3 linked regions of the Rattus norvegicus genome follow. The protein of the gene in region 1 binds, or shares a complex with, the protein of each later gene. Links are inferred from orthologs where the notes say so. Each region holds a gene or a part of one and is shown on either strand. Other genes may lie near its edges.

Region 1 (10,459 bases):
CCATAAAGGCCAGTACTTTATAATCTTCCTGTTAGAAGTAGAGACATAACAGGTCTGCTGGGAACCAGATGCAAATCCAAGAGATTTACGCAGCTGACCTTGCTGAGGTCCCTGAGCTCTAGGCCAGGCAGCTCTGAGAGTTGGTGGGAAGCATCAGGTGAACGCTTCTGTTTCTGCTGATTTCCTGCAGGAGGATGCTCAGACACCTCCTATGGAGTGGCTATTTTTCCAGAAAACCCAACCCCATGAATTACAGTGACCTATGGAGGCAAGCTTATAACAAGAGACTGAGGCACACACTCTGTCCTTCTAGAGAAGGGAGCATGAAGAATGTCTACACATAGAAAACATCAGCATAGATTCTGCCAAAAAGGAAACAGGGTAGCCAGCAATACACATCCATGATTTAGCCCTGGGAAACTTGCAGAAGAGGAGGAAAAAATTCTCCACTTAACCCCAAGGTGCTGCTTAGTAAATGACGGTGTTTGAAAGTGAAGGTACATTCATGAAACAAACATTCTTGCTCAGTAATGCCTTGGAGATTGTCTGCCAAGCATGAGGTAGTGAAAAAACTTCAAGGATATTTATTTCCAGATCTGTCACCAAATATGCAATTATGAGCAGGTGACTTCCTTGATACTTGATCTTTATTTGTATGTTATAGGTGATGATTGCTTCACAGAATCTTTAATTACTATGATTAAGTTAGGATATATGGGACTGGGAGACAGTGTTCTTCCAGAGGACCAGAGTTTGGTTCTCAGCACTCGTATCTGGGAGCACAGCTGCCTAACAACTCCAGCTCCAGGGCATCCGACATCCTCTTCTGGCTTCCATGGGTGCTTGCCCAAACGCGCACAGGCACGCATGCACACACACAAATGTAATAAATCTTGTTTTCTCCAACACTCATTAAACTTGTTTATTTCAGAGACCTTTACTTTATAAAATGACTTTCCACACTGTCTTTTAAAAATCAAGCTTCACATAAATTTTTTCTTGTTTATTAATTGAGAATTTCCTACCTGCATATACCGTGTTTTGACCAACTATGGTCCCCAGTCCCTATCCTTTGATCCTCCCCGACTCCCTCACTGTTTTCCCAGCCAAACTCATCCACTTAAAGTTTTTCCTTAAGAAACCACTGAGGCTTTTAAAACTTAAATAAATTAGAATATGTAAGGCTCTTAGAAAAGAACCTATAAACTTTACACACACTCCTTTGAATTAGACGTAAGAAGCTAAGAGCTGGCTTTGGTGGCCTATATAACAGCTTATATCACATTAACTTCCCCCTACTCCATGGTTGTAGAGGAATTTTAATAAGTTTTATATTTTGGACTTTATCAAACTAATTCAAAGAGAGAGGTTTCACCAGCTCTCCAGGCCTACCGCAAGCCAACTGGTTGACAACTGAAATTACTTTCATACTCCTTGAACTCTTGTTTATGTCATTTTGATCCATTATGCAGTCTTAAGATTTTAGTTCCCTTCACTTCCTGTGGGAAGTGAAAGGAGGAAGTTGGAGGTCCCTGGAGGAAGTGGAGGTGCTGCCATAAATAGTATATAAAATAAATCATATAATACACTCTATCATTATATATCATGTTACTCTTAGCCTGATTTTTTACTGTATTGAGGAAAAACTTGAGCAGTTTTCTAGTGAAGTTTTTTGCATTGTTTACATTAAATATTATTTATATTAAACCAATTTTTCTAACAAAATAAGTAATATTCCAGCATATCTGTTTTCTCTCCTACATTATATCTTCCAAGCACCACCATTTTCAACTTGCTCAATTAAGCTCTTTCCAAAGAATTACCTGTAACAACTAACTGTTTTATATTTAAGGAGTCCTAACAATAGGGCTATGGAAACCATCATCTTGAATGTGAATTGTCAGAAGAGGTGGTTGGTAAAATTGGGGCATGATCTGTTGAGAGAGGAGGTACGGCAGCAACTTGGAAATCCCATCTGCTGCAGTCTGAACATCTGTATCTTAGTGAAATTAATAGAGTGAGATGATGATGATGGTGGTGGTGGTGGTGGTGGTGGTGGTGGTGGTGGTGGTGGTGGTGGTGGTGGTGGTGATGATGATGATGATGATGATGATGATGATGATGATGACGATGACGACAATGACGATATATGACTGTAACAAGAAGTGAGGCTAGGGATTAGGATCCTTAGACTCCCCAGTGAATGGAATTCTTGAGGGGAGGGCAGTAATGAGGGAGGATGGGGAGGGGAACACCCCTAAAGAAGGGGAGGGGGAGAGCTTAGGGGGATGTTGGCCTGAATATCAGGAAAGGGAATAACATTTGAAATGTAAATAAGAAATACCCAATTTAATTAAGATGGGGAAAAAAGATGCAAAGAGAAGGCCTTGTCTTTGAGGAAGAGATCAAGTCTGAGACGAGCAAACTTTTGCTACCTTACTTCGGACTTCCATATTTCACAATTATAAAAAAGAGACTTATGGGTTTTTATGAATTGGTCTGTGACATTTTATTATAGGAATCAACAAATGTTTTAACTATGAGAGTAAAGGGCTACCCCATAATTCTGATACACTGTCAAAACCAGCAACTGGTCAACCCTCTGTCATCTTTCTTGTGCCTCTCCCACACCCATTGGTCCTTTCCTGTTCCCAGCTGTCCTCCTTCTACTTCTGTATCTTTGGGGCTTCTTAGGTCACTAAGTTAGAAATGAGTAAAGAATGCTTTTCCTGTCCTGGACAGAGTGGACTTGGGTACCACTGAGACAACTTGGGTTACTGAAACACATTCAAGTTAGTAAAGCCTGACTAAAACCCAAAGCATAAATATCTCACTTCACCAAAACACTGATAATGTACTAGACAGTCCTATCAATGACATTAACTCTTCCCAAATAAATACTTGAGTCATTTCGCCCAGGGGAAGGAGGGTTGAGATATCAAAGTACTAGCTGAGAGTGAAGGAGATTTTGTTCTTCAGGAGTTTGGGTCTTCAGATAATTACCAAGGTGGGAGCTGAGGCAGCTATGAGTATATTACATTGGTCATCCTGTGTGCACATTATAGAGTATTTATCACCACAACCCTAGGGTGTGTATTAATCTCTCTATCCAGTGTGTAAACTGAAACAGATAAGGCGTCATCTAGTGGTAAATAGAAAAATAGACATTGACTCTACCACTACCTTATTTTGGGACCCAAGTTCTTTGCCTGCAGGAAATAGCGACAGATCTTCAGTGGTGTGAAGCAGAATCATTTTCTGATGTTTGCAGATGCCTTTGTCCTTTCAGATGCTTGACTCTGTTTTTCATTCTGCTTCCTGGAGCTGTTGTGTTCCTGGAATCAAGTCCCAATACAACAGCACAATCTAGACAGTAGATGTCGCCTGGTGACCTTTTACTGAGAAGGATCTCTTAAACAGGGCTGGAAATTTCAAAGCACGGAATGCTTTTATTTCCTAAATATGATAAATGGCAAGGAAAATTCACCTGATGGTTTTAGCGCAAATTATAATACAATCAATGTCCACAAGTCTCCCTTCATTGCTACAACACATACCCTAACATCATTAGGAATAAATTTCTCACCCTAGACTATTTGAAAAGAGGGGAGCAAAACGAGAAGACAGAGGGATGGGAAATGGGCATATGTCAAGCATACTGTGCAATTAATATATGTTAACAAAAACAGTGCCAGGATCTTTCACCCGGATTTTAAAGAACTATCAGTCTTGTGGGAAGATCCCTCTAGAAAAGATAGTAACTCCTCTCCCATCCAGACCTCTTCTCCCAGATGCTCCCAGGTTTGAAGTAAAGACCAGTGTCAAAGGTCGATATCCTGTAGATTACAGTCTGTTAAAGGTGACAAGGAGGCCTTAGAGAGACTGCACCCAAGAAGACATTAACTGAGTTTTCCTTTGCCTGTGGCCTGAAGTCAGTTTCTGGCACCTCTGACCACTCTCCTCCCACTCTCTGCCCAGTCTCCGCCCTATCTGCCTCCAAGGCTTGCCAGTCAACTCCCTGTTCCTCCCCTTGCTCCTCCCTCTTCCTTCTAAGCTTACCTCTGAGAGGAAACTGAAAGTGAAATTAGACTGCGGGCTTGCAAAAGTGAAGCTGAAAACAGCCTAGCCAAGTCTGAGGACCCTGGTAAGGTGAGTGAGGATGGGACCCCTGGCCAGACTAGATGGGCTCCCCCCACCCCACCCCAATGCCACAGATTCAAGGAGCCGCTTCCCACTAGCGCCCTACACACGGAATTTCCTAGCCCACCTGCTGCTTCTCTTCAGCGGAGTTCTCTAGTCCCAACCCTGCCAGGCTGCCCGTGCTTCCCTGTGAAAGCTGGTCTCTGAAATTGACTTTCCTAGTGCCATGAGCAGGAGAAGCAGGGCGGTGACCTAGTCCGGGAGGGAGAGGGGAGGGGGGAACTCGGGGAAACCCCAGCCCCTTGAAGACCCTCGATTGAGGAGAGTGCTAGCCACTTAGAAATTTCAGTGGGTTTAAGATACTCAGCACCCTAAAGGAAGTTGAGAGAAGTACTAGGCTTGGAGGAGCTTAGAGAAGAGCCCAGGGAGTGCTCCCCACAAATGTCAATAGATGAGCATACATACATATTCTGTACATAGACATTTAGATAGAGGAACGTATGGGCATGCCTACATTGATGCATTTGTGCTCAAGTGTAGCTTACAATGGAACATATCAGGGTAAATAAAGACATCAATTTGTGTGTGTGTGTGTGTGTGTGTGTGTGTGTGTGTGTGTGTCTGACACACACACACACACACACAAGCCTAATAACTGGGAAATATACTCTTAGATGATGTACTCAGGATAATGAATGCACATCTTGAAGTTTTTTTATTGGATTTTTTTTTATTTTTATTTCAAATGTTATCTCTTTCCTGTTTTCTCTTCCATAAACCCCCTATTCCACCTCCCCTCCCCCTTCTTCTATGATGGTGTTCCCCCGCCCACCCCTTACCACCCGCCTGCCCAGACATTTCCTACACTGTGATGTCAATTCTTGGCAGGACCAAGGGCTTCCCCTCCCATTGGTGCCCCAAAAGGCCATCCTCTGCTACTTATGCAGCTAGAGCAATGGGTCTGTCCATGTGTACTCTTTGGGTGGTGGTTTAGTCCCTGGGAGCTCTGGTTGGTTGATATTGTTCTTCCTATGGGGTTGCAAGCCCCTTCAGCTCCTTCCATCCTTTCTCTAACTCCTCCAAAGGGGACCCCACTCTCAGTTCAATGGTTGGCTGTGAGCATCTGCCTCTGTATTTGTCATGCTCTGGCAGAGCCTCTCAGGAGACAGCTATTTCAGGTTCCTGTCAGCATGCACTTCTTGGCATCAGCAATATTGTCTAGGGTTGGTAGCTGTATGTATATATGGTCTGGATGCCCAGGTGGGGCAGTCTCTGGATGGCCTTTCCTTCAGTCTCTGCTCCAAACTTTGTCTATATATTTCCTCCTATTAATATTTGTGTTCCTTCTTCTAAGAAGGACTGAAGCATCTGCACTTTGGTCGTCCTTCTTGAGCTTAATGTGATCTGTGGATTGTATCTTAGGTAACCCAAGGTTTGGGCTAATATCCACTTATCAATGACTGCATACCATGTATGTTTTTACTGATTGACTTACCTCATTCAGGATGATATTTTCTAGTCCAATCTATTTGCCTATGAATTTCATGAAGTCATTGTTTTTGATAGCTGAGTAGTATTCCATTGTGTAGATGTACCACATTTTCTGTATCCATTCCTCTGTTGAAGGGCATCTGGGTTCTTTCCAGCTTCAGGCTGTTATAAATAAGGCCGCTATGAACATAATGAAGCATGTGTCCTTGTTATATGTTGAAAAATCTTTTGGGTGTATACCCAGGAGTGGTATAGCTGGGTCCTCAGGTAGTACTATGACAGTTTTCTGAGGAACCTCCAGACTGATTTCCAAAATGGTTGTAATAGCTTGAAATCTCACCAACAATGGAAGAGTGTTCCTCTTTCTCCACATCCTCGCCAGCATCTATTGTCACCTGAGTTTTTGATCTTAGCCATTCTGACTGGTGTGAGATGTAATCTCAGGGTTGTTTTGATTTGCATTTCCCTGATGACTAAGGATGTTGAACATTTCTTTAGGTGCTTCTCAGCCATTTGGTATTCCTCAGTTGAGAATTCTTTGTTTAGCTCTGAACCCCATTTTTGATAGGGTTATGTGGTTCGCTAGAGTCTCACTACTTGAGTTCTTTGTATATATTGAATATTAGCCCTCTATCAGATGTAGGATTGGTAAAGATCTTTCCCAATCTGTTGGTTGCCATTTTGTCCTAATGACAGTGTCCTTTGCCTTACAGAAGCTTTGCAGTTTTATGAGGTCGCATTTGTTGATTCTTGATCTTAGAGCATAAGCCATTGGTGTTTTGTTCAGGAAATTTTTTCCAGTGCCCATGTGTTCGAGACTCTTCCCCACTTTTTCTTCTCTTAGTTTGCGTGCATCTTATTTTATGTGGAGGTTCCTGGTTCACTTGGACTTGAGCTTTGTACAGGGCAATAAGAGTGGATCAATTTGTGTTCTTCTACATGAGGACCTCCAGTTGAACCAGCATCATTTGCTGAAAATGCTATCTTTTTTCCATTGGATGGTTTTGGTTCCTTTGTCAAAAATCAAGTGCCCATAGGTGTGTGGGTTCATTTCTGGGTCTTCAATTCTATTCCACTGGTCTATCTGTCTGTCTCTGTACCAATACCATATACTTTTTATCACCATTGCTCTGTAATACTGCTTGAGGTCAGGGATGGTGATTCCCCCTGAAGTCCTTTTATTGTTGAGGATAGTTTTTGCTATCCTGGGTCTTTTGTTATTCCAAATGAATTTGCAAATTGTTCTGTCTAACTCTATGAAGAATTGAGTTGGAATTTTGATGGGGATTGTACTGAATCTGCAGATTGCTATTGGCAAGATGACCATTTTTACAATATTAATCTTGCCAATCCATGAGCGTGGGAGATCTTTCCATCTTCTGAGATCTTCGTCAATTTCTTTTTCAGAGACTTGAGGTTCTTGTCATACAGATCTTTCCCTCTCTTGGTTAGAGTCACAGGGAGGTACTTTGTATTATTTGTGACTATTGTGAAGGGTGTCATTTCCCTAATTTCTTTCTTAACTTGTTTATCCTTTGAGTAAAGGGAAGCTACTGATTTGTTTGAGTTCATTTTATATCCAGCCACTTTGCTGAAGTAGTTTATCAGGTTAGGAGTTCTCTGGTGAAAATTTTGGGGTCACTTAAGGATACTATCATATCATCTGCAAATAGTGACTTTTTTGACATCTTCCTTTTGATTTGTATCCCTTTGACCTGCTTTTGTTGTCTAATTTCTCTGGATAGGACTTTGAGTACTATGTTGAACAGATAGAGAGAAAGTGGGCAGCCTTGTCTAGTCCCTGATTTTTAGTGGGATTGCTTCAAGTTTTCCTCCATTTACTTTGATGTTGGCTACTGCTTTGCTGTTTAGTGCTTTTACTGTGTTTAGGTATGGGCCTTGATTTCCTGATCTTTCCAGAACTTTTATCATGAAGGGGTGTTGAATTTTGTCAAATGTTTTCTCAGCATCTAATGAAATGACTATGTGGTTCTTATCTTTAAATGTGTTTATATAATGGATTACATTGATGGATTTTCATATATTAAACCATCCCTGCATCCCTGGGATGAAGCCTACTTGATCATGATGGATGATCATTTTGATGTGTTCTTGTATTCAGTTTGCTAGAATTTTATTGAATATTTTTGTGCCAATATTCTTAAGGGAAATTGGTGTGAAGTTCTCTTTCTTTTGGGGGTCTTTGTGTGGTTTAGGTATAAGCATAATTGTGACTTCATAGAAGGAATTGGGTAGTGCTCCTTCTGTTTCAATTTTGTGGAATAGTTTGGATAGTATTGGTATGAGGTCTTCTATGAAGGTCTGATAGAATTCTGCACTAAACCCATATGTCCTGGGCTTTTTGTTTGTTTGTTTGTTTGTTTTGGTTGGGAGACTTTTAATGACTGCTTCTATTCCTTTAGGAGTTATGGGACTGTTTAGATGGTTTATCTGACTGTGATTTAACTTCGGTACCTGGTATTTGTCTAGAAAATTTTCCATTTCCTCCAGATTTTCCAGTTTTGTTGAGTATAGGCTTTTGTAGTAGAATCTGTTAATTTTTTTTAATTTCCTCAGTTTCTGTTGTTATGTCTCCCTTTTCATTTATGATTTGTTAATTTGCATACTGCCCCTGTGCCTCCTGGTTAGTCTGGCTAAGGGTTTATCTATCTTGTTGATTTTCTCAAAGAACCAGCTCCTGGTTTGTTGATTCTTTGTATAGTTCTTTTTATTTCTACTTGGTTTCAGCCCTGCCATCTACTCCTCTCGGGTGTATTTCCCTCTTTGTATTTTAGAGCTTTTAGTTGTACTGTCAAACTCCTAATGTATGCTCTCTCCACTTTCTATTCAGAGACACTCAGAGCTATGAGTTTCCTCTTAGCACTGCTTTCATTGTGTCCCATAAGTTTGGGTATGTTCTGCCTTCATTTTCATTAAATTCTAAAAAGTCTTTAATTTATTTCTTTATTTCTTCCTTAACCAAGTTATCATTGAGTAGAAAATTGTTCAGCTTCCATGTGTATGTGGACTTTTTGTCGTTTTTGTTTTTATTGAAGTCCAGTCTTAGTCCATGGTGATCCGATAGGATGCACAGAATTATTTCAATCTTCTTGTATCTGTTGAGGCCTGTTTTGTGACCAATTATATGGAAGATTTTGGAGAAGGTACCATGAGGTGCTGAGAAGGTATATACTTTTGTTTTAGCATGAAATGTTCTATAAATATCTGTTAAATCCATTTGGTCAATAACTTCTGTTAGTTTCTCTGTGTTTCTATTTAGTTTCTGTTTCCATTATCTGTCCCTTGATGAGAGTGGGGTGTTGAATTGTCCCACTCTATTATTGTGTGAGATACAATATATGATTTGAGCTTTAGTAAGGTTTCTCTTACATATGTAGGTGCCCTTGCATTTGGGGCATAGATATTTAGGATTGAGAGTTCATCTTGGTGGATTTTTCCTTTGATGAATATGAAGTGTCCTTCCTTATCTTTTTTGATAACTTTTGGTTGAAAGTCAATTTTATTTGATATTAGAATGGCTACTCCAGCTTCTTTCTTTGGACCATTTGCTTGGAAAATTGTTTCCTAACCTTTTACTCTGAGGTAGTGTCTTTCTGTCACGGAGGTGTGTTTCCTGTATGCAGCAAAATGCTGGGTTCTCTTTACGTATGCAGTCTGTTAGTCTATGTCTTTTTATTGGGGAATTGAGTCCATTGATGTTAAGAGATAGTAAGGAATAGTGATTGTTGTTTCCTGGGTGATGGTGGTGGTGGTGGTGGTGGTGGTGGTGGTGGTGGTGGTGGTGGTGGTGGTTGTTAGAGGTGGAATTATTTTTGTGTGGCTCTCTTCTTTTAGGTTTGTTGCAAGAAGATTACTTTCTTGCTTTTTCTAGGGTGTAGTTTCCCTCCTTATGTTGGGAGTTTTCCATCTCTTAACCTTAATAGGACTGGATTTGTGGAAAGATACTGTGAAAATTTTGTTTTGTCATGGAATATCTTGGTTTCTCTATCTATATCAATTGAGAGTTTTGCTGGATATAGTAGCCTGGGCTGGCATTTGTGTTCTCTTAGGGTCTGTATGATATCTGCCCAGTATCTCCTGGCTTTCATAGTCTCTGCTGAGAAGTCCAGTATAATTCTGGTAAGTCTGCCTTTATATGTTACTTGACTTTCCCCTTACTGCTTTTAATTTTCTTTCTTTGTTTTGTGCATTTGGTGTTTTAACTATTATGTGATGGAGGAATTTCTTTTCTTGTCCAATCTATTTGGAGTTCTGTAGGCTTCTTATATGTTTGTGGGCATCTCTTTCTCTAGGTTGGGGAAATTTTCTTCTGTAATTTTGTTGAAAATATTTACTGGCCCTTTAAGTTGGGAATCTTCACTCTCTTCTACACCTATTATCCTTAGGTTTGGTCTTCTCATTGTGTCCTGCATTTCCTGGATGTTTTGGTTAGGGGCTTTTTGTGTTTTGCATTTTCTTTCTTTTTTTTTTATTAACTTGAGTATTTCTTATTTACATTTCGAGTGTTATTCCCTTTCCCGGTTTCCAGGTCAACATCCCCCTAACCCCTCCCCTTCCCCTTCTTTATGGTTGTTCCCCTCCCCATCCTCCCCCCATTGCCGCCCTCCCCCCAAAAATCACGTTCACTGGGACCAAGGGCTTCCCCTTACACTGGTGATCTTACTAGGATATTCAATGCTACTTATGAGGTGAGAGTCCAGGGTCAGTCCATGTATAGTCTTTAGGTGGTGGCTTAGTCCCTGGAAGCTCTGGTTGTTTGGCATTGTTGTTCATATGGGGTCTCGAGCCCCTTCAAGCTCTTTCAGTC
Region 2 (10,400 bases), on another chromosome or scaffold:
TACTGGGGGTGGGATTGGGGGTTTCAAAAGTCCAAGATACTCTAGTCAGTCCCCTTTCTATGTCTTGGGCTTGTGGATCAGATTTAGCTCCTAGTTAATGCGTCAGCATCATGCCTGCTTTCCTGCTTCTGTGTTACCATGATGGTCACGGACTCACCCCCCAGAAATTATAAGCAAGTCCCCAATTAAATGCTTTCTTTTGTAAATCATCTTGGTCCCGGTATCTTTTCACAGCAATAGAAAAGTAACTACTACAGTATGCTAGAGAGATAAGCTAAGCATCTCCCAAAGGCAATGAGAAAATCCTAACCTTCATAAAAGATTACCACCCTATTCTTCCTGTTTTGCTTTGAACATCATCCAAAGATAAAAAAGTAAACACATCTCTCCATTAGGAATTCTCTAAAATGTAGTGAAATATGGTCTGAATAATTAGCTAAAAATAACCAGATGAACAGAACACAGCTAAGCTAAAAGAGAAATATGAAAAGGATGCCAAGCACAGAAGCAAGGAGAAGGAAAAGGAAAGAAAAAAAGAGATAAATGATTATTCTGTGATAAAGTGTGAGGAGTGTGGCTTTAGCAATTGAATGGCTAAGAACAGGAATTTAAGTGCAGCTCAACAAGACTGCACTTAGACTTTTTGAAGAGCTGGTAATATTCTTTGAAAATATTTAAGAAAATGGAGGTTGTAGTTCTGTGAGGGCTACAGAGACTATAGCTTCTGTTATTGGATGTTCCTGTTCTGTTGGGGTTTTACAATTTTTTTTTCTTATGTGTGGTAGCACAGCTCCCTACAAATTATCACCAGTAATACATTTAACATTGTTTTTTAGAATGCTGCATTTGTGGTTTTTTGTTAATTTTGTGATAGAATTATATAAACTTAAAAAGTCTGAGGTAGGGAGCGATTGCTCAGCAGTTGAGAGCATTGGCTCCTCTTTCAGAGGATGCAGGTTCAACTAGAACTCCAGTTTCAGGAGGTCCTGTTGGACCTGTGTAAGGTTACCTTACACAGACATACATGCAGACAAAACACCAACGCACAATAAATTTTAAGATAGTCTGAGGTGCCCTGGGTTCGGTCCCCAGCTCCAAAAAAAAGAAAAAAAATAGTCTGAGGTGATTAATGGATTCGTTGAAGTTTGGGCTTTTGCTATAAATTGTAATGCTAAATACTGGTCCCCAAACCTTGGTTGCTCCCAGGGATGAGGAGATCCTCATATAAACTACGTGATGTTATGTAACCAACCCTGCTCTTTAATTTAAAACTATTGGCTGAATAAAGATGCCACAGCTAGGCAGAAAAGAGGTAGGCGATGTTTTGGCTGCTGGGCTTGGGGTCTGAGGCAGAGACCATGATGAGAAGAGAGAACATGTGGAGAGTGGAAAAGATGCCATGGGGTAAGGGATTGTGAGAACTGGCTATGAGGGCCAGTCAGAGTAAGAGCAGCCCAGGCAGAACACGGCAAGTCCTGTCTCAGGGTTATTGGTAGGGAAGTAGACATAACAGCACAGAGGGCAGATATACCCCCAGTTTGAGCTGATTAAGGCTCATTATAAATATAAAAGTTTTGTATCTTTTATCTGGGAACAAAATGATCTAAGGTAGGGTAGAAACTCCCAATTAAGAAAGTCAGTTATGTCAAAGGATGTTTTCCTGAAGCAGACACAGGTGAAAGGATGTTTTGCTAAAGCAAGCACATGAAAGGATGCATGATGAAGAATCCTTCACTAATGATATGCATGTATTGGTTCAGCTACACTGTGTAGCTGACCTCCATTTGTCATGACTCCATAGAGAAATGCACCAAAACACTTCTGGTGTTCTGGAGGCTTCTTGCCACTTCCTCAGACTTCTGCTATTTGGCAAAGTGATGTCAGCTGATAACAGACTCATGTGGAGGAAAGACATGTTGTGAGGCAAGATCAATGGAGGACAGACATGTTTGGAGGGAGTATAAATAGGACTCAATGGACAGTGACAGGGGCTTGCATACCTAGCTTTGTAAAGCTTCTTGGTCTTGGGTTTTTATTAAGAACCAGTATTAAAAATAGGGCTGAGAAAAATCAAAAGCCTACAAGAATGTACTACTTTTGAAGAGGATCTAGTTTTAGTCTCCAGCACCCACACAGGGCTGTTCATAGCCTGTAACTTCAGCCCTAGGGATTAGGCACCTCTGACCTCCACAGATACCTGCACTTACGTGTATATATACTCATACTCCCAATACATACATAAGGAATCAAAAATGTCTTCAAAATTGTACACACAATTAAAATATTAATAAAAATCTTTTACTCGACTCCCAGTCTGTTTGTGGCACAGGCTGGCCTGACACTCACAAAGATATACCTTCTCTGCCTCCTGAGATTAAGAGCATTTGTCATTATGATCAGCTTACTCCTTTGGAGGCTAGAGAGATGGCTCAGTGAAGTAAGAGCTTTTTGCAGAGGACATAATTTCAATTCCCAGCACACTCATGGTAACTCACAACTGTAGTAATTCCAAATCCAGGGGTTTAGGCACCCTCTTCCGGTCTTCCTTCAGTACAATGCATGCACAGATAGTACACGTATGTTTAGGCAACACACTCATACATGGAACTGCAGGCTTTGCTTTTATAAAGTGCGCAAGAGATTCAACACATACATAAAAAATTAAAACTTATGCAGCTTCAAAACAAATGAGGATCATTAGGTTATAAGGCTTAATAGTGAAAGTTTTAGGCTTATAACTTTTAAAACCTGGACAGAAGGAACATGGAGTGGTTCCCAAACTCAGGTTCTGGGTCTTTAGCAAATTTCATCATTGTCAGAAATACCAATGTTTAGATTACAGCTCCATGAGTTACTACTATCATCTCCATATCAGATGAGGATGAAACACGAGTAGTTTAATAGCTTGCTCAAACCTACCCACTTAATAGTGGTTCACACAAATATAAACTCTGGTAGTGTCAGCTTCTGGTTTTGTTCTTTTCCTTCCAAGTTCGGGTCTTAGATCTGGAAGGGCCCTGAAGTTTATAATTTTCTCTGGGTAATTCTGAAGCCCAGTCAGTTTAGGGACAACCTGTGAAATACAGTTACTTTCCACAGACTAGTTTCTTACCCGTCTTAGACTAATAGTTCCTGTGGCTGTTTAAGTGACTAGGTGCTCTTTCGTCTGAGCAGTGACCATGTGGGCAGGCTTTAGTGTTCATTCATTCAGCAAAATGCTGACAGAAATTTAAGAAATAATCCTCTCCCCAAGGCATACCTGAAGCCACTCATGGGAACCTCCACAATGAGGGATTTTAAAAATAGCTATTTAGACCTAAAACTTGAGCTTTTCCAACTACGTTAATATTTCTAATTTACAAAGCTATATTTTAATCTCATTGACTTTTGTCTGATAAAGACCTTTGAAACAGTTTTAAACTTTGATTCTGGTGTCACTATCTTTCCAAACTGGCTCATCCAAAAAGATAACTGTTTTGCTAAGATAGAGGAGATTAGGTGTGTTTTGAGCATGAAAGTTATATCTTTTTGTCCTATTAGGTAGGGCTGTCTGCTCAGAACAGATGCCATCTGGTTGCAAAGTGGACACAGGTCAATGAACAAGTCCAGCCACTGAAAATGACAGTATGGACAGTAAATAAAAGACTTTAAAACAAGGAATGGAGACTGAGAACTGGGGATGGATTCAGATAGACCAAATACCTATATTTAGGGCAAAACGGGTTGGAGAAAACCCTCAAGTTGACACACACATATCCAGAGGTGAAAAATCACAGAAAAGGAGACCATATAGAATGATGACACTGAAGAACGACAGATTAGGAAATATGGAGAGGAAGTAAATTGTTATCTCTGAACATGGGAATCCAGTTTAAAACAAAAGCCAAAATATTCAAGGGACAAACCTTCCACTTTCTTACCTCCATCTTCATCATGTATCCACAGAAAGGTTACTAAAAACATGTTTCTTTTGACTGAGTTATTGAGGTGTTTGATATAAAAAAATAAAAATCTCTTTCCCCCAGACAAACGTAAACATAATTTGGTATACACATATACAAACAACACTCCTAAAAATACGTAATAGATGTTGACAAAAAGCCACAGTTCCATAGGACTAAACAAGCAGTTCTCTTAACTTCCTAATGCTGCTACTCTTTCATACAGTTCACTGGGTGACCCACCAATCAGAACATGATTTTTGTTTGTTTCATAACTGTAATTTTGCTGTTATGAATAGTGATGTAAATGTTTTTGGAGAAGTTTGTCCAATGGGTCTCGACCCACAGGTGAGAACTTGGAACACACACCAGTGAGACTTTCGAGAGGAAATACAGGTGGTGACTCAGGCTGTGGATCTGGGACTGCAGGTATGCGGAGGAGACTGTCCTGAAGTGGTGCATTAGAATCTCTGTAGTGTTCTTGTTAGGTGAAAACAGAAGTTACATCAAATACATCTTTGGCCCAGATGATGGGCTAACTGAAAATATTCCCTTGCTTGTTCACAGAATTAAATGGCAGATCTAAGCCAGGATATTAAAACAGCTGCCTCTTAACTAGGTGCGGGGTAAATCCATTCTTTCTCCAGCCTCTCACTTGTGGGACAAACACCTGTGGGGTGTTGCCAAATTTACAATGGGATATTACAAACACAAGACAAGACAGCAGCTGATTTCTAACGGGTGAGATTATTCTAGATGTAAATACTATTTCCTGCCATCCCAGGTTGGAATCGCAACTCCAACTCTCCAGAACTGAACCTTATACACTGAAAGTGAAAAGGATCTAAAAGGGAAAGAAGCCCACTTTAGTTTGGAGAAAAGTACTAAAGAGGAAGACACACAGACACGTGGGTATGTGAGTAAGCTGGAGGTTTTCGCAGGGGGATCTCCAAGGCCTGCAGGTAGGAGGGGGGTCGGAGAAGCAATGGCACGTTTCTCTGGAGTCCGCGCTGATTTGGGGGCCGCCAGCCCATCTGACTTTCTCTTCTCACGGTTGGGGATATTGCCACTGGTTCAACTCCAACTCCAGGTCTGGAGACATCCAGCTCGGTGCACTTGGAGTCCATGTCAGCTCCCAGGATGTGCATGCAGGAGAGGGGCAGAGGAGGTCGCAGCCCCTCTCCTACAGCCGCTTCCGGAAGTTTCTTCAGAGACCTGAGCCCCCAACCTCAGCACGGCCCCCACGAGAAGTCCGAAGTGGCGGGAAGCCGGGGCTTAAGAGGCCGCCCCGACGCGAGGGCGGCGGGAAAACCTGGCGGAGGATTCCGCACGTCCGGCGGGACCTAGTTCGGCGTTTGGGAAGCAGAGGCCATGGCTCCCAGGTAGAAATGCCTGCGTGAAGCGGGTCCTCGCCACTGAGGGGCGGCCAGAGACTCTGGGAGGGCGGTTTCAGTGCCCCTCCCGCGCTGCCTCTGGCCAGGCGATGGCGGCGACGGTTTCTTGGCTCCCCCGCCCCGGACGCCGATGGCGGTGCGTTCCGGCCCTCCCTCCCCCACGGCTTCGCCCCGCGGTCGCCAGAGCCGGTGAAGCCGGGAGGGCGGGGAGCGGCGGAGGGACGGCGAGAGGGCGGAGGTTGCGTGGTGCAGGCGGCGGCGGCGGCGGCGGCGGGAGGAGGAGGGCCGGCAGGCGGGCAGGGGAGGAGGAGGAGGAGCGGGCGCCGTGTCGCACGCAGCTCCAGGCGGGGCAGCCCGGGCGCTGAGGGACGCGGCCAGACCTCGGCGGGCCCCGCGAGCACTACACGCCGCCCGAGCGTCGGGGGGCGCCCGGAGATGCGGGTGAGTAGCGGCTCGGGCCGCGGTGGCGGGAGGCAGCGCAGGCCCGGGCAGAGCCGCGGCGTCGCAGTGACTCGGGCCGCGGCGTCCGAGCCCGGGTTGCCGGCAAGGCCCGAGGCGCCGCGACTAGGCGGAATGGCGGCCGGGCTGGAGAAATCGTGGGCGTAGGACGCTGAGGGCGGAGCGGAGCCGGCAGGCCCGGCCTGAGTCACCGGGCCGGCCAGGCTCGGCCTGGGCCGGGACTCGCAGGACCAGGCCCCGGCTACGCACTGGGAAAAAGCCGGACTCACCGCGGCCTGTGGCGCGGGCCTCGGCGCCTCACGCGTTACCCCTCCCTTCCCCTCGGCCCTGGGGGTTCCGCTCGGCCGGGGCGGCTCAGGGCCGCGGGACTCGTGCTCTCGGGGATCCCGGGGCACTCATTGTTGCGACGGTGCGGGGCATGATTATTGGGTAACAGTGGTGCCCCGGGCTCCGTTCTCTCTGGGAGCGTGGCCGAGCAGGCGCGCCGGGATGCGGTGTGCTTTTCGAAAGGAACGGAGCCCCGGGGCGTCCGCCAGCTTTCCTCAGTCGAGCTGGGCCCTGTGCGGCGGCCTCGGCGCGTCCCCGGGCCCGGCGGGAGCGCGCGCTCTGACCCCAAAGGTAACCGGGCACCGGGCCAGGGGGACCGAGTCGGGGGCCGGAGATTCTGCGGGTCTCTATTCTTAAATCCCGCGTGGCCCTGAGAACCCCTTCTTTCTGTCACCTGTGCACTGTGTTACACCGGAGATAATTAAGAAAGCAAGGGACGCTTGCACTCTTCATTCCTTGAGTCTAATAATCCCCAAAGTTAAGGGAGCTAGGTCTGCCAAAAAAGAGGATTCCCCCTTTCCTACGAGGTCGCTGTTGGTACTTGCAGTTCACTGTCGTTGGGGGTTTGTGGTAAGGGCACGCATGCTGAAATGCAGTCAAGTTGTTCAAGTGTTTTTAGTTGCTCTGTGTGTGCTTGCTCTGTGCTGGAGTAGCATTAAAACAGCCAAAAGCTAAGGATGGAATAAATAATTACTGTTTTAGAAAGGCACTGGGGTGACAAAAGAGGAACTAAATTCCTTTTACTTCAAGTTTCTAGGACCTAAACCTAACACTCTGGAGAAGCAAGTGTAGTTGAGAAAAATAAGGATATAAGGTCTTTCTTTGTTTGAAAAGGTTTTAAGATTTATTTTTATTATTTTTTTACATAAAACTTGTATTTATTGCTTCCTATAGTAAGTTGAAACAGTTACATCTCATTTTAAATTCTGAGTATGCAACACAACACTGGCTTGCTTTATCGTCTATTATGCCTATTTTTGGAGGTTTTGGGGAAGCACTTACTAAGCTTGGGAGAAAAGGCTGAAGTGCTTTCTAAAAATGTTAACCTTTTCTCTTTCCTCCCCCGTTGGCATCATCTTTAAAAAACTATTTTGCCCAAAAGCAAATATTTTAGATATGCTAGGGTGTTTGTAAGATACATCTTTCCTGAGCCTTATGGTCAGGCCCTGGAAGGTGTGGCCCAAATTCCTAGTATGTCACATACATCTGAAGTCTGAGCTAATTTGGCCAGGTGTCTTTAGATATTACATAGACTCTGTTGTTCAGGGAACTCCACCTTCTTGCTGTAATTAATTTTGTCAGTGTAGGCTTATTTCCCATACGTGTGACTATGAAATCATTGAAAACAAGGAATAAGTCCTTTACTTTGTCTCCCTCAGATAACATAGAACATGATCTTGGTGGTACCATGAATGGCTTTTTTTTTTTTATTGACTAATTAAATTAATCCTAGGGTTTTACTCCTCCCCTTAATTTTGGCTGCAGAAAACATAGTCATTGTTGCTGTTGATCTTGTTAAAAGTGCAAGTTTACTATTATGTTGCATGCTTCCCTAGAGTGAAACTCATTTTTCTTGTGTTGCCCCTTTCACCTGATAAGTACTTACTTTACCTAGGGAAAAAAAAATTGTCCAAGGTTTCTTTGTGGAAATCCAAACAGTTTGTAAAATTAAAATTAATCATTTTAATTTAAGAAGTCAGTATTTTTTTAAAAACAAGTTTGTTTACCCCTTTACCTTTGAAGTAAAGCAGGTTAGTATTTAAGGCTATTCCCTGCTGGAAAGATAGGCCAGCCCAGTTGTACTAAAGTTTCTGTGAGAGGATAAGGGATAATGTACCTTCATTTCAGCAAGGAAAATTATGTTTAAATGAACAAACTTTAAGTCAAACAGTAGTTACTTGGCATTCTTAAGATTTAATTTGTTAGGGCCCCCCAAAATTATTAGGGCACTTCATAAGTCTCAAAGCCTACTTAGTCTTTTTTACCTTTATCAGTGAAGTCATGGGATAATATGAGAATCAGTGGTTTCATTTTGAACTTACCTTTAGGTTTGTTTGGAGGAAAAAAGCTGTTAACCATCTATTTTAAAGGACAGTTCTAAATTCATCTTTAAAAAAAAAAAATGTGTGCGATTAGGGGGATGTTTGCCCGGAAACCGGGAAAGGGAATAACATTCGAAATGTAAATAAATACTCACGTTAATAAAAAAAAAAATATGTGCGCATGCCCCATAGCACACATGTGAACGCCAGAAGACAACCTTCATAGTCTTTATCTTATGGGTCCCAGGGATTCTTTAAACTTGGCAGCAGTTCCTTAGACTTGGCAGCAAACACCTAAGGTAATTTTTAAGTGATACTGTCTAACTTTTAAGTCCTTAAAATATATGGATTCCTTGGGAACATAACTAGCGAGACATTGGAGAACTACCTTAAAGAACATAATATAACATTTCATATTTGACCACCAGGGTTATGAAAAGCCCAAGTTTGATAGTATTTAATTTTTCCCTTGTGAAATCTGGATAAAAGGAAGATTCCGCTCTCTGGCTTCCACTCACGTTTCAGCTAGATTGCACTTCTAATTTGTTCTGGGTTAACATCCTTCTTTTTCTTTTCTTATCACTTTATAGCTCAGGCATCTCCATCTCAGGAATGCTGGCCTTGCCATTCTGTCTAGGACCTTTCCCTAGGTCCTCATGATGTCTATGGTACTATACCAGTGCTTAATTTCTGATGATACTTGGTGGTTTCTTCTGTTAGGCTGTCTTTACCCAGGGGCAGGGTGGAACAAATCTGACGCTAGTACCTGTCACAATGCTTATGTCAAAATTCATGTACTTCCTCCCACTTCAAATCTTTACAAAGCCATGTGAAGTTTAAGTACTGACATTTAACCCTTCTTGTAGAAAATAGAAGGGTCCTGGACTTTGGGTAGTTTTCATCAAGGCTATGAAGGTATAACACCCCTAGTAGGTGGTTAGAGCAAGATGTTGATCTCAGAGCTTGAACTTTTAAACAAGAGCTCACCTTGAAAGTCTGATGTATATGAAATTAAAGGAAGATTATCAGAGATTAAAATGAAAGCGTCTTTAAAGATTGATGTCTGTGATCATTACAACAGAATGCATCATACATAATTATGGTCAGCTCCCAAGAATGAGTTTCTTCTTCTGGTCCTTCAGAAAACACTGGACAGTACTTAGACAGTGATGGTGTAGACATAAACAGTTGTAGAACATTGGGGCTATTGTTAAATTGGGTGTAATGTTATGACTCATTGGCCTTGCAAAAATTCCTAAATTCATTTAATAAGCTAATTTTTTAAAGGTCTGTGTCAGAAAATACTTTAGAAAACAGACTACTAATTTAAGTATGTATAAAGTATGCAGTAGTTTAAGTAATTAAAGTTTTAAAATGGTGGTGATTTTAGGTGAACTTGTGTCTTTTAAAATTTTTTATAAATCAATTAATAACAAAGTATCAATTTCAAGTCTCAGGGTGGAGAAACTTAATAATAATACCAAAAATATGGACTTTAAAAAAAGAACCAATTCAGAGTTTTAAAGCTTCTTATGGTAAAATCTTGTAAACAGAATAAAAGGCAAATGACAAACTACGAAAATGTTTTTACATGCAAATTTATTTTTTATACTATCAAAGGGGACTTGTAAACTAATGGGAAAAAGATTCCCTTCTATGGCAAAAAATGGGAAAATTGGAATAGGAAACATGAAAATCTTGAGCTTTACTAACAGTATTCCCAGAAGTGGTGCTTTGTAATGTTTTAAAATAAGTCACTTTTGTACAGTGCAGCAGAAGAGGGCATCAGATCCTATTACAGATGGTTGTGAACCAGCATGTGGTTGCTGGGAATTGAACTCAGGACCTCTGGAAGAGTAGTCAGTGTTCTTAACCACTGAGCCATCTCTCCAGCCCATAAATATTATTTTTTTTAAGCAATTATTTTTGTGTGTATGGGTTTTCTGGGCTGCCATGTTGATGTTGGGATCTTGTATTCTCAGGAAATGCTTTTAACTGCCGATCCATCACTTCAGCCCCAACTAAGATTTTTCAAGACTTATAAATTGTAGCAGAAATTTCAAAATGATGTATAGTTTGAAATAGCCTGCTTTTAAGGATTTTGTTAACAATATAAAAAGTGATCAATAGATTAGCAATACCCCCGTATATGTGACTTAATGCCTTTTTCTTATGCATTAATTTTCAGTTTGGGGTTATTGTGGATGACTTTCAGCATTGTTTAGGTAAATCCTTAC
Region 3 (10,324 bases), on another chromosome or scaffold:
CCTTACCTCCACTGCGGAAGGAGAGGATACGCAGAGGTCCCAGGCTGGGGAGACTTCCCTGTGCAGGGGAGCAGCTTGCAGGCTCTCCCACCCTTGACAGCATAGGGCTTCCAATACTGCCAAGCACACAAAAACAGTTGCCTCCCGCGTTTTCCATGTAAACAGTTTGAGTCTCCCCTGGGATTCCCAGACCTGGGGCCCAGCAGTGGTTGTCCAGGTCTGGTCTCCCTGCCCGAACCTGGACCTCTTGCTCCCTAAACAGTGACTCCACACAGCAGCCCCACCCCCAGGCCAGGCCCATCGTTCTGAGTCTCCCAGCAGACCACTACTCCGTCAGGTACCCTCCACACCCCCCCCCCCCCCCCCGGTCAGGCCAGGACCCTGCACACCAGCGCCCCCTGCAGGCCGGGACCTGCCACATCAGCGCCCTCAGCAGGTCAGTGCTGCTCAGACCCAGACCCTGCCCGCACCGGGACACAGTGGCCTGCCGGCAAAGCCAATATGGCCGCTCGGGGCCCTAGTGACCGCCACCGTCAAGGGTCGAGCGGCCCAGGAAGTGCTGGGTGGAGCCGAGGACCGCAGGACCCCCAGCGGCCCCGCACAGGTGCACGGCCGCCTGCACCCTCCGGGAGCACTGGCCCGTGCCCAGCCCCGGACTTCCCGGCCGCCCGGGCCGAGGACAAGCTTGCTCGGGCAGCCCCAGCCCTGCAGGCCCGCATTGGTCTCTCCGCACCTCCTCACCTCACAAAGAGCCCATCCCCCACCCTTAGGCCGAAGCCACTGACAGTTCATACCGGGCCCTGGCCTTTGTCTTCTCTTCTGCTAACTCAGGCGCTGAGGGCACCAGTTAAAACGACAAACTTTGGGGCCTTAAGCTACTTCTCCTAAAGGGAGACTATGTATGACTTCTCATCCTAACGGGCAACTTAAAAATCCACCAAGGCAAAAAAGAGGACAACAAGCAAACTCGGCGATCTGAATGACAATGGGTGTTTTTCCCTTTCCAGTGGTTTTCAGAGGGTAAGAAGAAGTCTGCTATGAAGCTCTGACATTTTTAGCTGGTACTTCTTCCGCGTTAAAAGTAAAACAAATTGAGTGGTGCCTGGGGAAGTTCTTCAAAGTTTCCTATTGAAGAGACTTCCTGTCCCTCCAAATGTGGTCCCGTTTAGAACATCCAGTCTCTACTGACATTATTAGTGTCCTGCTAAATTCTACCACTTCCAGTAAGAATCCTGGTCCCTTTAGGCTTGCATCTGGTGTTTCATTCCCAAATGGATGTTAGTTCGGAGGACTAGCTTCCAGATTCCTGTACGTGTTGGAACTAACCATTTTCAGATCTGAAAGCAAATGTGTCCCCCTGAGCTGTAAAAGGAACAAATTGCTCCTTTAATGCTTAGAAGGTGAAGCTTTTAAGGCTGGTGATAGCTCACAGCTAAAGATGCCTGGATCCTACCTGATGACCCCAGTTCAATCCCTGGAATCTACAGCGGAGAAAAGAGAACTGTCTTCAGCAATTCGGCCTCTGACCTCCACAGTGTACCCTGACATGCCTGACATACATACATGAATACACACAAAATAAAGCTATAAGCTTTTTTAAACTCCAATACCACCGAGTTTTACTCACTGAGCCTCAAACGTCACCATCTGCAGCATGTCCAGACACGAAGCCAAGGTCTGCAGTGACTCAAAGGCCTGTTCAAAATGTGGGTCTAGCTCTGTGTACTTCCTGCTGGAGACCATGCTCCATAGTGAATGAATCCCCTTATTCTGCCCACATAGGTTTCCTTTTCCACCATCTCCTGGTACACATGACCTTTCCAACTTCATTAGGAAGTTCCAAACCAACACATTTCAACCCACCGTCCTAACTTCTCCCTTTCATCCTGTCCTAGACACCCTTTCCACTTTTTGTCTTTCGATGTTGACCTAGCTCTCCTTCAACGCACACAGCCACTGCTGGAACAAGTTCTCTAGGCGTCTAAACCTGCTGCATTCAGCACACTGGCTTGCAGGTAAAGCCGTCACTTGCTGATCCCCAGCTGCCCTTCCTACTTGCCATGTCTCTTTACCAGCTGCTCCCAACTTGTCCCTCGTAGGCCAGGCTGACAAGGAATGGCAGTGGCCGTCCATCTAGTCCCAACGGTTTTCTAAGGGTAGGAACTTCTCCAGTCAACATTCAGTGTCCCCTTTGACAGGAGAAGAAGGTCCAGCTAAAGGCAGCAGGGCTCAGTGCATTATACTTGGCCTCTTCCTACCCTCCAGAGACCTTGAGAAAGGAAGACTGATCCTACCTGGCATAGCCCTGGGATTACAGGCCTGTGCTACCATTCCTGGTGGTGCTTCATGCCTGTTCGGCCAACACCCTCCCATCTGAGCTACCACAGTTTTACACTTTTTGCTTGGTATTTTGCTCATGAGACAGAGTGTCGTGGAACTCTCCCTATAGAACAGGCTGACTGAACTCACAGGACATCTACCTGCCTGTTTCCAAGGGCCGAGCTAATCAAAGGCCTGTACCACTACACCCAGAACTAAGTTTCTAGCCTTCTAAGCATACAAGACAAGCTATATCTATGGAGAAATCTATTTATTTGTGCTATACTGATAAAATGCAAACTACTTTCTATACCTGTCCATTTTCTTCCTAACACAGTCACAAACGCACCGATTTCTAGCTTAATGCAAAAGCCCCACTGACATCACAGCTCATGTCCTGCACTAGGGCAGGACAGGCCAAAGTGAAACAGAGAGCCTAAGAAGACAGAGAGTGACCAAGAAAGGCCATCCAGAGCAAGATGGATGGACTCTAGGCTCAGGGAGATTCTCGGAGGTCATCAAAGACCCTGGAGGGTCTGAGATATAACCAAAAACCAGAGAAACCCAGAGCAGTTTTATCAAAGCATCAACACTGCTCTCGAGACCTGAACACTAACCATTTAAAATGACTGAAGTCACCATATATCAGTCCGGTTAGGTCACTAAGACAGCACACCAAGTTTCTGAATTTCAGGTCAGGGAAAAGGACAGATGAGACTGTCAATCTCTGAGTGCCAGGCTCACTACTCAGCAGAGAGATCCAACGCCATCTAGACCTTCCACTTCATTTAAATTCTTTAGAGAATGCCCTTCCCCACCAGCCCACAGTTTCTGTTCCTTACTATGGCCAACTATCTCAACAAAAAGAGGAGTTATGAAAGGACGTCAGGGAGTTCCCAGGTACCTGCTAGAGACTATTTTAAGGATCACAGGGATCAGAGAATGTGACTTAAGGTCGACAGAGGTAAAGTATATCTACCTGCCTTTTTACACAAAAGACTATCGCTGGCTGAAGTAAGTGACTCACTTCTGTAACCCCAGCAATCAAGAGGCTGAGACAGAAGTTGTGCTGAGTTCAAGGCCAGTTTGGGCCACAAGAGACCCTGTCTAATAAACAAGTCTTCCTGAAAAGTATCAAACTGAAGTTCTTAAACAGAAAAGGAAAAAAAAAAATCTCCCCAAAATACCTGAAATAAAATAAGTTTACAGTCACTCAGTGATTCTTTCACTACCTCAACTCTCCAAACAGGCAGAGGCTCTTCAAATGCCGCCATAAAACATCACGTAAATTTCTTTAACCACTAATGGGAGTTAGTTATTCCTTAAGTAATGTATGGGGGGGGGGGGGAACCCAGTTCAGAAAACACAACCCCTGCAACAGGTGAAGAGGAAGAAAGATGGTCAGAACTCGTCTTGACAGAATTGCCCAGGAAGGTATGCTTAATAATGAAGTATGATGACAGCCTCTAGGAAGTCGTGATTACTAGAACGAGGACTCTGAAATCACATTGCGAGAGTCACTCATAAAAGTAATGAGGATTCTTGAAACTCCCAACAAGAAACGGACGAGGCCAACCACAACTCCTGCTTGTGGACATGGGCTTTAACAAAACCAGAAGCAGCGAGCAGGAGAGAAAACAGGTGGGACTCCCGTGCCCCATTTTCCTGCCTGAGAACGTCGTCGTTGAAGCCTCCCTCCCTGACATGCAGCACGAGGCGACCGGGAAGCTAGATGTCTGTGGAGAAAGGAGTGGGATACCTCTTGGCACTGGTGGAGAGGAGCTTCGAGTTTTTGCTCATGCTGACTTTACTCTCCTTCTTCTTGGGGGTGCTGCCTTCTTTCTCGGTCTGCTGGTTGGAGGACGAAGATGAGGAAGAGCTGGTGCTGGCCCTCGAATCGTCATCCGACATAGCGAACCCCCCACCCCACCCCGCGAACGGCCCCTGCAGGGGGAGGAAACAAAACAGAAACACAGACCATGCAGGCGCTGCAAAGAGGGAACTCCGCTGTCAGGAGGGCGCGGGCCGGGCCGCCCCCGCCGCCCTGCAGAGGCTCCGGGCCCACCGCCGCACCGGCCGAAGAGACGCGGGGGCCGCGATCGCGCGGGGGGTGGCCTGAGGAGGGCCAGGAGCCGTCGCCGCCGTCCCTGAGGCCTCCCGGCGTCCGCTCGAGTTTGGTGAGGTCCGGACGAGCCGAGCAGCCAGAGTGGGTGAGGAAGCCGAGCGTGGGCCGCGTGGGCCGCGGGGACACGGCGCCCGGCCAGGCCCGGCCACGCGGGGCTGCGCTCGCAGGCCGGCGCGCACAATGCGCCCCGGGCGGGCGGGTCCCCGCGGGGACCGGGCCCCGCTGACAGTTCGCGCGGCCCCCGCCGCCCCGGCCCGCCGCCCCATCCCCGCCGCCCGGCCCTGCTGCCTGTGGCCCGGCGGTGCCGTCCGCCCCCGGCCCCGCGGCCCGCTCGCCCGCCCCGGGGGCCCCCCGCACCTCTCTTTGTGTCTGGCTGCTCCGTGCCGCCGCCGCGGCTGCTGCTGCGGCTGCGGCTGGGCCTGGCCACTCGTGTCTCGCTCTCGCTGGGAGAGAAGCGGAAGTGCAGCAACAGCAACTATTAACCAGGCAATGGCTTCCCCGGCCGCACACGCTCCGCGCCACTCCTCCTCTCCGCCCCGCCCCGCGCCCCTCCCCCGCCGCACCTGGGGGCCGCGGCCCCAGAGCCCCGAGCGACCCCGGCGTGGCCTGGGGACCGGGCGCCGGGCGGAGCCGAGGCAGCCGGGCGGGATTGGGAGACGACTGGGCCCGGTGGAAACCGGGGTGACCAGGGGAAGTTCTTCCCAGGAGGGCTTTAGGGAAGGGCTGGGGGGTGAGATGGCCGGAGAAGGGAAAAGGTGGTACTCTCCTGGCGAGGACTTTGACTCCTCCCCAAAAGTGATCCGTTTGTAAAGAAAGGGGGGGAAAATCCCCTAACAGGGTTTTCCTTTGGGCTGACACTTGTTCCTCCCTCTGGCAATTGCGTGCTTGGAGCAGAGGTCACGCCTGTGAGAAAAAACCCAGACGGGTTTCTGTTTAGGACACACCAGGCGTGTGCAATTTTACACTAGATACCCCCCTCCCCCCTGCCCTTCACTTCTTATAGAGAAGAATGTGGACTTTTTTTTTTTTTTTTAATGTATGCGATTGGAGTTCGTGACAGATAACCACGACCCGGCATGGGATTGTAATATCACTGGAAATAAACCATGAGCCGATGATTTTTGACAGGATTTGGAATTCTTAGATTAGATATAATGTCTGAGTCTTAGAAATTGGAAAAAAAAAAAGTTCTAGAAAGCACCCTACTTTCTCTTTACTCCAATATGATGCTATTCAAATAATATTTTTAGAATAGTTACACAGTAATGTCACTAAATTGTTCCTTGTGTGGCACTGTACCGAAGTTTATTTTTAAAAACATCCCACCATTAAATTAGGACTTCGTTTCTTACCTGTTTGTCGTTTACCCTAAAGGGAACAGACCCCTGCCATCCAAGTACAAGGTCCACACACACAAGATCTTGTGTCCTGGGCAGACAACTGCACTCAGATTTCCATGGTCCACTTTAAATGACCTCATTCAAATTGCCTCCCATGGCAACCCTGGCTTCAGTTACCACACAGGATATAAAGAAAGCTCACCGACAGTAGCCAGGAGAGCAGGCATTCTCACTACCCAGCTAAACCCCTTCTAGCTGTCCATCTGAAACTCCAGCTGTGTTAAGATTCATAACGTAATTACACACTTTATTCCACTCAAATCTTCAAGGAAACCTGCATCTAGTAAGAGTTGTCTTCAAATCGTGTGTAAGATTAGTGATAAGACCTCTCCTAGGCCACCATTTGAACCTCCTTCAACAGAAAGAACCCTTCCTCTACTACCCAAAGCAAATGATTTGCCCCGTTTGGGACAGAGTTTCTCTGTGTAGCTCTTGCTGTCCTGGAATTCCAGACCAGGCTGGCCTGGAACTCACAGAGATCCACCTGCCTCTGCTTCTCAAGTGCTGGGACTAAAGGTGTTCACCACCACTGCCAGGCAAACATAAATTTAGAAGAAATCTCCACAAGTGTTTTGTTTTGTATGTGCTGGAAGAGCTTATCAATGATAATACCAGCAGGTCATGGTGACTCAGGTATGGGAGGCATAGGCAAGCAGACCTCTGTTGAGACCAGCCTGATGTGTATAGCATTCTGGGCCATCCAGCGATACATATTGAGACCCTGTGTCCCCCCCCCCCCAAATATTACTAAAAAGTCAGTAATGAATAAATAAAAATAGCTATGTATTCAAAAATATTCTGATGTAAAGACTGCTATTTTAAAACTTTTTAAATGTTTAAGATTTTATATGTATGTAGACCAGGCTGGCCCTGAGCTCACAGTTTTCCTCCTCTTCCTCCTGAGCACTGAGATTAAAGGCACGTAACACACCTCCCAGCTTCCAGCTCTCTACTTTTTTCTTTTGGCAGTTTTGGGAATTGAACCCAGGTCTTTAGCATGTGTCAGATAAGTTCTCTACACTCCTACCTAGACTGACTCGTGTTCACAGTTCCAAGGCCTAAGAATCTAAACTGATCTCCTAGGAAGAAAGAGCATCAGTTTCCTCATGTATAAAGGGCAAGAATGCCCACATTGTCAAATGCTTATCTATGATAACATGCTCTATTAGTCATTGCACAAAGTAAACGAATCATTCAAACCTGGGAGCCTAGGTTGGATTTTCTAGGTTTTTTTTTTTTTTTTTTTTTTTTTGGAACATGGGATCTTTAAGACCTGAAATTGATTATGAGTATTTTATTAGAAAAATGCTTGTCAGGAGTTCAAAGCCTTCCTCAGTTATGTGGTAAGTTTGAGGCTATGCCACATGAGTCTAGGCCTGCCTCAAAATAAATAGACAAATTCGAAAGAAAGAAAGAAACCTTTCAAGAGGAAGACAGAGTTGAGGAATGAGGATTTCCATGTCTGGAGGGGCATAGACTGCTTTCCAGTTTACATTCATGGTTCAGTTGAAGAAAGGAAGGTGGAGAAAGCCCACGGATCTTCTTCAAGGTCATGCGGTACAAGCTCGATGCCTTGATGTCCACACACGGCCTTGTCAGTTCTGGCAGTGCTGGTATAGAAGAAGGCCCTCGGTTATAGTAAAGAAAATATATTGAATATGAAAAGCAAGCTCGGATAATATTTTAAAATGCACTAACTGTGGGTGGGTGTGACAGAATGTGCCCAAAATCCCGGCTTCTGGGGGAGGGGGGGAAGCCGGAAGATGAAGAAAGAGTTCAAGAGTGGGAGGGGCAGGAGGAGTTCTAAACCAGTCTCTGCTACAGAGCAAGGTCAAGGCCAACCTGGACTACTTGAGACTGTTTCAAAAAAGAAAGGAAAACTGATTATTAACAAAACCAACCAAGTGAGCTGAGGAAGTCACAGAATCTGTAACATTTACTTATTATTAAAATACACTAATGTCCTCTATTCAAGTTCTCCATCCTGAAGATAACCATCACTACTTATTCTATATTTATGGATGTTTTGCCATGTTTTTTTTTCTTAAAAGAATAAGCAATAACTTACCTACTTCCCCCAATTCCCAATTTCCCCAGAGGGAGCTGTTTTCCTGTAGTGGGCTCTGGGAGTGCAAGCAAATGCCTCAAACCCATTAAGTGCTATGATTGGATTGCTCAATTTACAGTAAAAAAAAAAAAAAAAACACAAAGGAAATTAAGGAATTGGGATGTGACGTCCCACAGGCGTAGTGAGCCTGGCTCCACATTTTACCAAGTTCAGGTTCAAAGCCATGCTGAGCCAAATAGGAAGACCTTGTCTAGAAAACACACACACACACACACACACACACACACACACACACACACACACAGAAAGAGAGAGAGAGAGAGAGAGAGAGAGAGAGAGAGAGAGAGAGAGAGAGGAGTTCAAAAACAAGCAAGGAAATGGACATTTGCTGATATAGCTGGGAATGGTGTCACTCAAAAGGCTGAGACAGAAGGATTAGTATTATAAATTCAAGGCCATCCAGTGAGTTACAGTTCAACTTGGGCTATAACATGAAACCTTGTCTTAAAACCAAAAAGAAAAATAGCAAGAAATTGGATAGACAGATGGGTGATAGGTAGATAATTCATGTTTTCCCTTTCTTTTTGACTGCTTGTGGTTTAGGCTTGTTTCATTCTTTGCTTTCTGTTTGAGACTAGGTCTCCCTGTGGAACCCAGGCTGGCCTGTACCTTGTGGTCCTCTTGTCTCAGTCTCTCAAGGACTGGGATTATAGGAGTTTATCACCACATCAGTCTCTCTTAACATAGTTTTTAAAACTTTCTTGAGTCCAATAGAAAAGATTTCCTTCTGTCAACCAAACAAACAAACCATCCTGTTTGGAATTTTATAAGGGTTTCTTCAAAAAGGACTCACCTCAGGTTTCTGTCCACCAGCTTCCCTGTATAATCTCTGATGGCTGAACAGTCTGGGGGCCTTTTTGTCTGATTTCATATTTTGTTCTTTAAAAAAATATTTGTTACCTATTATATCTGAGAGTTCATGTGTGTGGCCTCTCTTTCTTCCCTGTAGCTCCCAGGGACTGAACTTAGGTCATCTGGCTTGCTGGGCAAGAACATTTACCTGCTGAGCTGTTACTGCCCCCCCCCCCGCCCCCAAGAGAAGGAATGGACACAAAACAAAGCCTGTTTTCAATTTGGATGGTTTTCTCATAGAAAGGGAGAGGTAGAGGAGGAGGGAGGGGGAGGGAGGGGGAACTGACAGTTTCGAGCTCCTGCACCCACTTCTCTGATGCCACCACAAGAAGCTAGGACATATGTTATTTTTTTTTCTACCACATGGAGGCATTGGACAATCATGAGATTCTTAGAACTCAGTAAGGCTTGATAAGAGTCGTGATCTCTCAGGCAAGGGCAAAAGGCATATTTACTGTCTGAAGGTGAGCAGAAGCTATCTTCTCAACATAAAATTCAGCACCTTCTGTTTGGAGGCCCTCTCTAAAGTAAGTAGTCTTCGTTCATACATGTGAATGTGTGTGTTCATGTATTCTTGTGTGTGTGTGTGTGTGTGTGTGTGTGTGTATGAGAGAGGGAGGGAGGGAGAGAGAGAAAGAGAGAGAGAGAGAGAGAGAGAGAGAGAGAGAGAGAGAGAGAGACAGACAGACTCTCTATGTAGCCCTGGGTAGCCTGGACCTTGTTATGTAGCCCATAACAATTAAATTCACAAGATCCACCTGCCTCTGCCTCCTAAGGGCTCCCTAAAAGGCATACTTGGTTAAATTAGGCTTCTTCATCAAGGTAGATTATATCAGAATATAATTGGTTAGAGCAGTTCAGTTTGTGAGTCTCTGATATCTCCGCCCCCCCCCCGCCCCCAATCTAGCTCTTTTTCAGTTTACTGAAAATTGGGAAAATGAAATAGTATTAGAGAAGACTAATTTCGTTCAGGAGTCTCAGACAGCATCATGTGAAATTTCAGGGTAGTTTAGCTGCAGAGTGAGACTCTGTTCCCCTTCTCCCAGAGTTTTACAATGTTTCTTAAAATCATTCCCACCTCTTTATTTATTGCGTATGTATGTGGTGGAGAGCACATATGCATGCATATAAAGGTCAGAAGACAACTTTGAAGAGTTGGATCTCTCCTTTCACTATGTGGGTAGTGGGGGTTTCAAACCACTGTGGTGGCAGCACCTTGACTCTCTGAGCCCTCTGTGCTGTCTCTAAAGTGTGACAAATCTGTCAGCAGAGTTTCGGATCCACTTCTGAATCCAACATTTCTTTTTTTAAGATTGCTTTTATTTTTACTCACGTGTGTGTTTATGTGTGGTTATGTGTACTTAAAGGCAGGTGCCCACAGAGGCCAGAAACAATGGTCAAACTTACTGGATCTGTCGATGTGGGCTGTCGTGGGTCACCCCAAAGGCGTTCTCAGAACTCCTCCGCGGAAGTAGCAAGTGTTCCTGACACTCATTTTGC

What was found.
Region 2: Trim21 (region 1) and Cul1 share a complex: the UniProt entries of both Homo sapiens proteins name them as parts of the SCF(SKP2)-like complex. The link is inferred for Rattus norvegicus from reciprocal best matches to the Homo sapiens genes TRIM21 and CUL1.
Region 3: the proteins of Trim21 (region 1) and Ube2e1 are in contact, whole or in part, in a crystal structure (PDB 6FGA), measured with the Homo sapiens proteins. The link is inferred for Rattus norvegicus from reciprocal best matches to the Homo sapiens genes TRIM21 and UBE2E1. Residues at the interface, in NP_003132.2 of Homo sapiens: Pro17, Ile18, Cys19, Leu20, Asp21, Glu38, Cys39, Gln42, Val43, Pro52, Arg55; in NP_003332.1 of Homo sapiens: Lys43, Lys50, Arg51, Lys54, Pro107, Phe108, Asn138, Trp139, Ser140, Pro141, Ala142, Thr144.

The regions. Positions count from the first base shown.
Region 1 is NC_086019.1:166,392,999-166,403,457, reverse strand, and holds the start of Trim21 (E3 ubiquitin-protein ligase TRIM21), read left to right. Parts: upstream 1-4,086; 5' UTR 4,087-4,149; intron 4,150-10,459. UniProt on the Homo sapiens protein: E3 ubiquitin-protein ligase whose activity is dependent on E2 enzymes, UBE2D1, UBE2D2, UBE2E1 and UBE2E2.
Region 2 is NC_086022.1:77,546,595-77,556,994, forward strand, and holds the start of Cul1 (cullin-1), read left to right. Parts: upstream 1-5,230; 5' UTR 5,231-5,323; intron 5,324-5,639; exon of another isoform or gene 5,640-5,776; intron 5,777-6,171; exon of another isoform or gene 6,172-6,412; intron 6,413-10,400. UniProt on the Homo sapiens protein: Core component of multiple cullin-RING-based SCF (SKP1-CUL1-F-box protein) E3 ubiquitin-protein ligase complexes, which mediate the ubiquitination of proteins involved in cell cycle progression, signal transduction and transcription.
Region 3 is NC_086033.1:9,865,203-9,875,526, reverse strand, and holds the start of Ube2e1 (ubiquitin-conjugating enzyme E2 E1), read right to left. Parts: upstream 4,986-10,324; 5' UTR 4,802-4,985; intron 4,712-4,801; exon of another isoform or gene 4,711-4,711; coding exon of another isoform or gene 4,393-4,710; exon of another isoform or gene 4,301-4,392; coding exon of another isoform or gene 4,298-4,300; intron 4,264-4,297; coding exon of another isoform or gene 4,231-4,263; coding exon 4,079-4,230; intron 1-4,078. UniProt on the Homo sapiens protein: Accepts ubiquitin from the E1 complex and catalyzes its covalent attachment to other proteins. Catalyzes the covalent attachment of ISG15 to other proteins. Mediates the selective degradation of short-lived and abnormal proteins.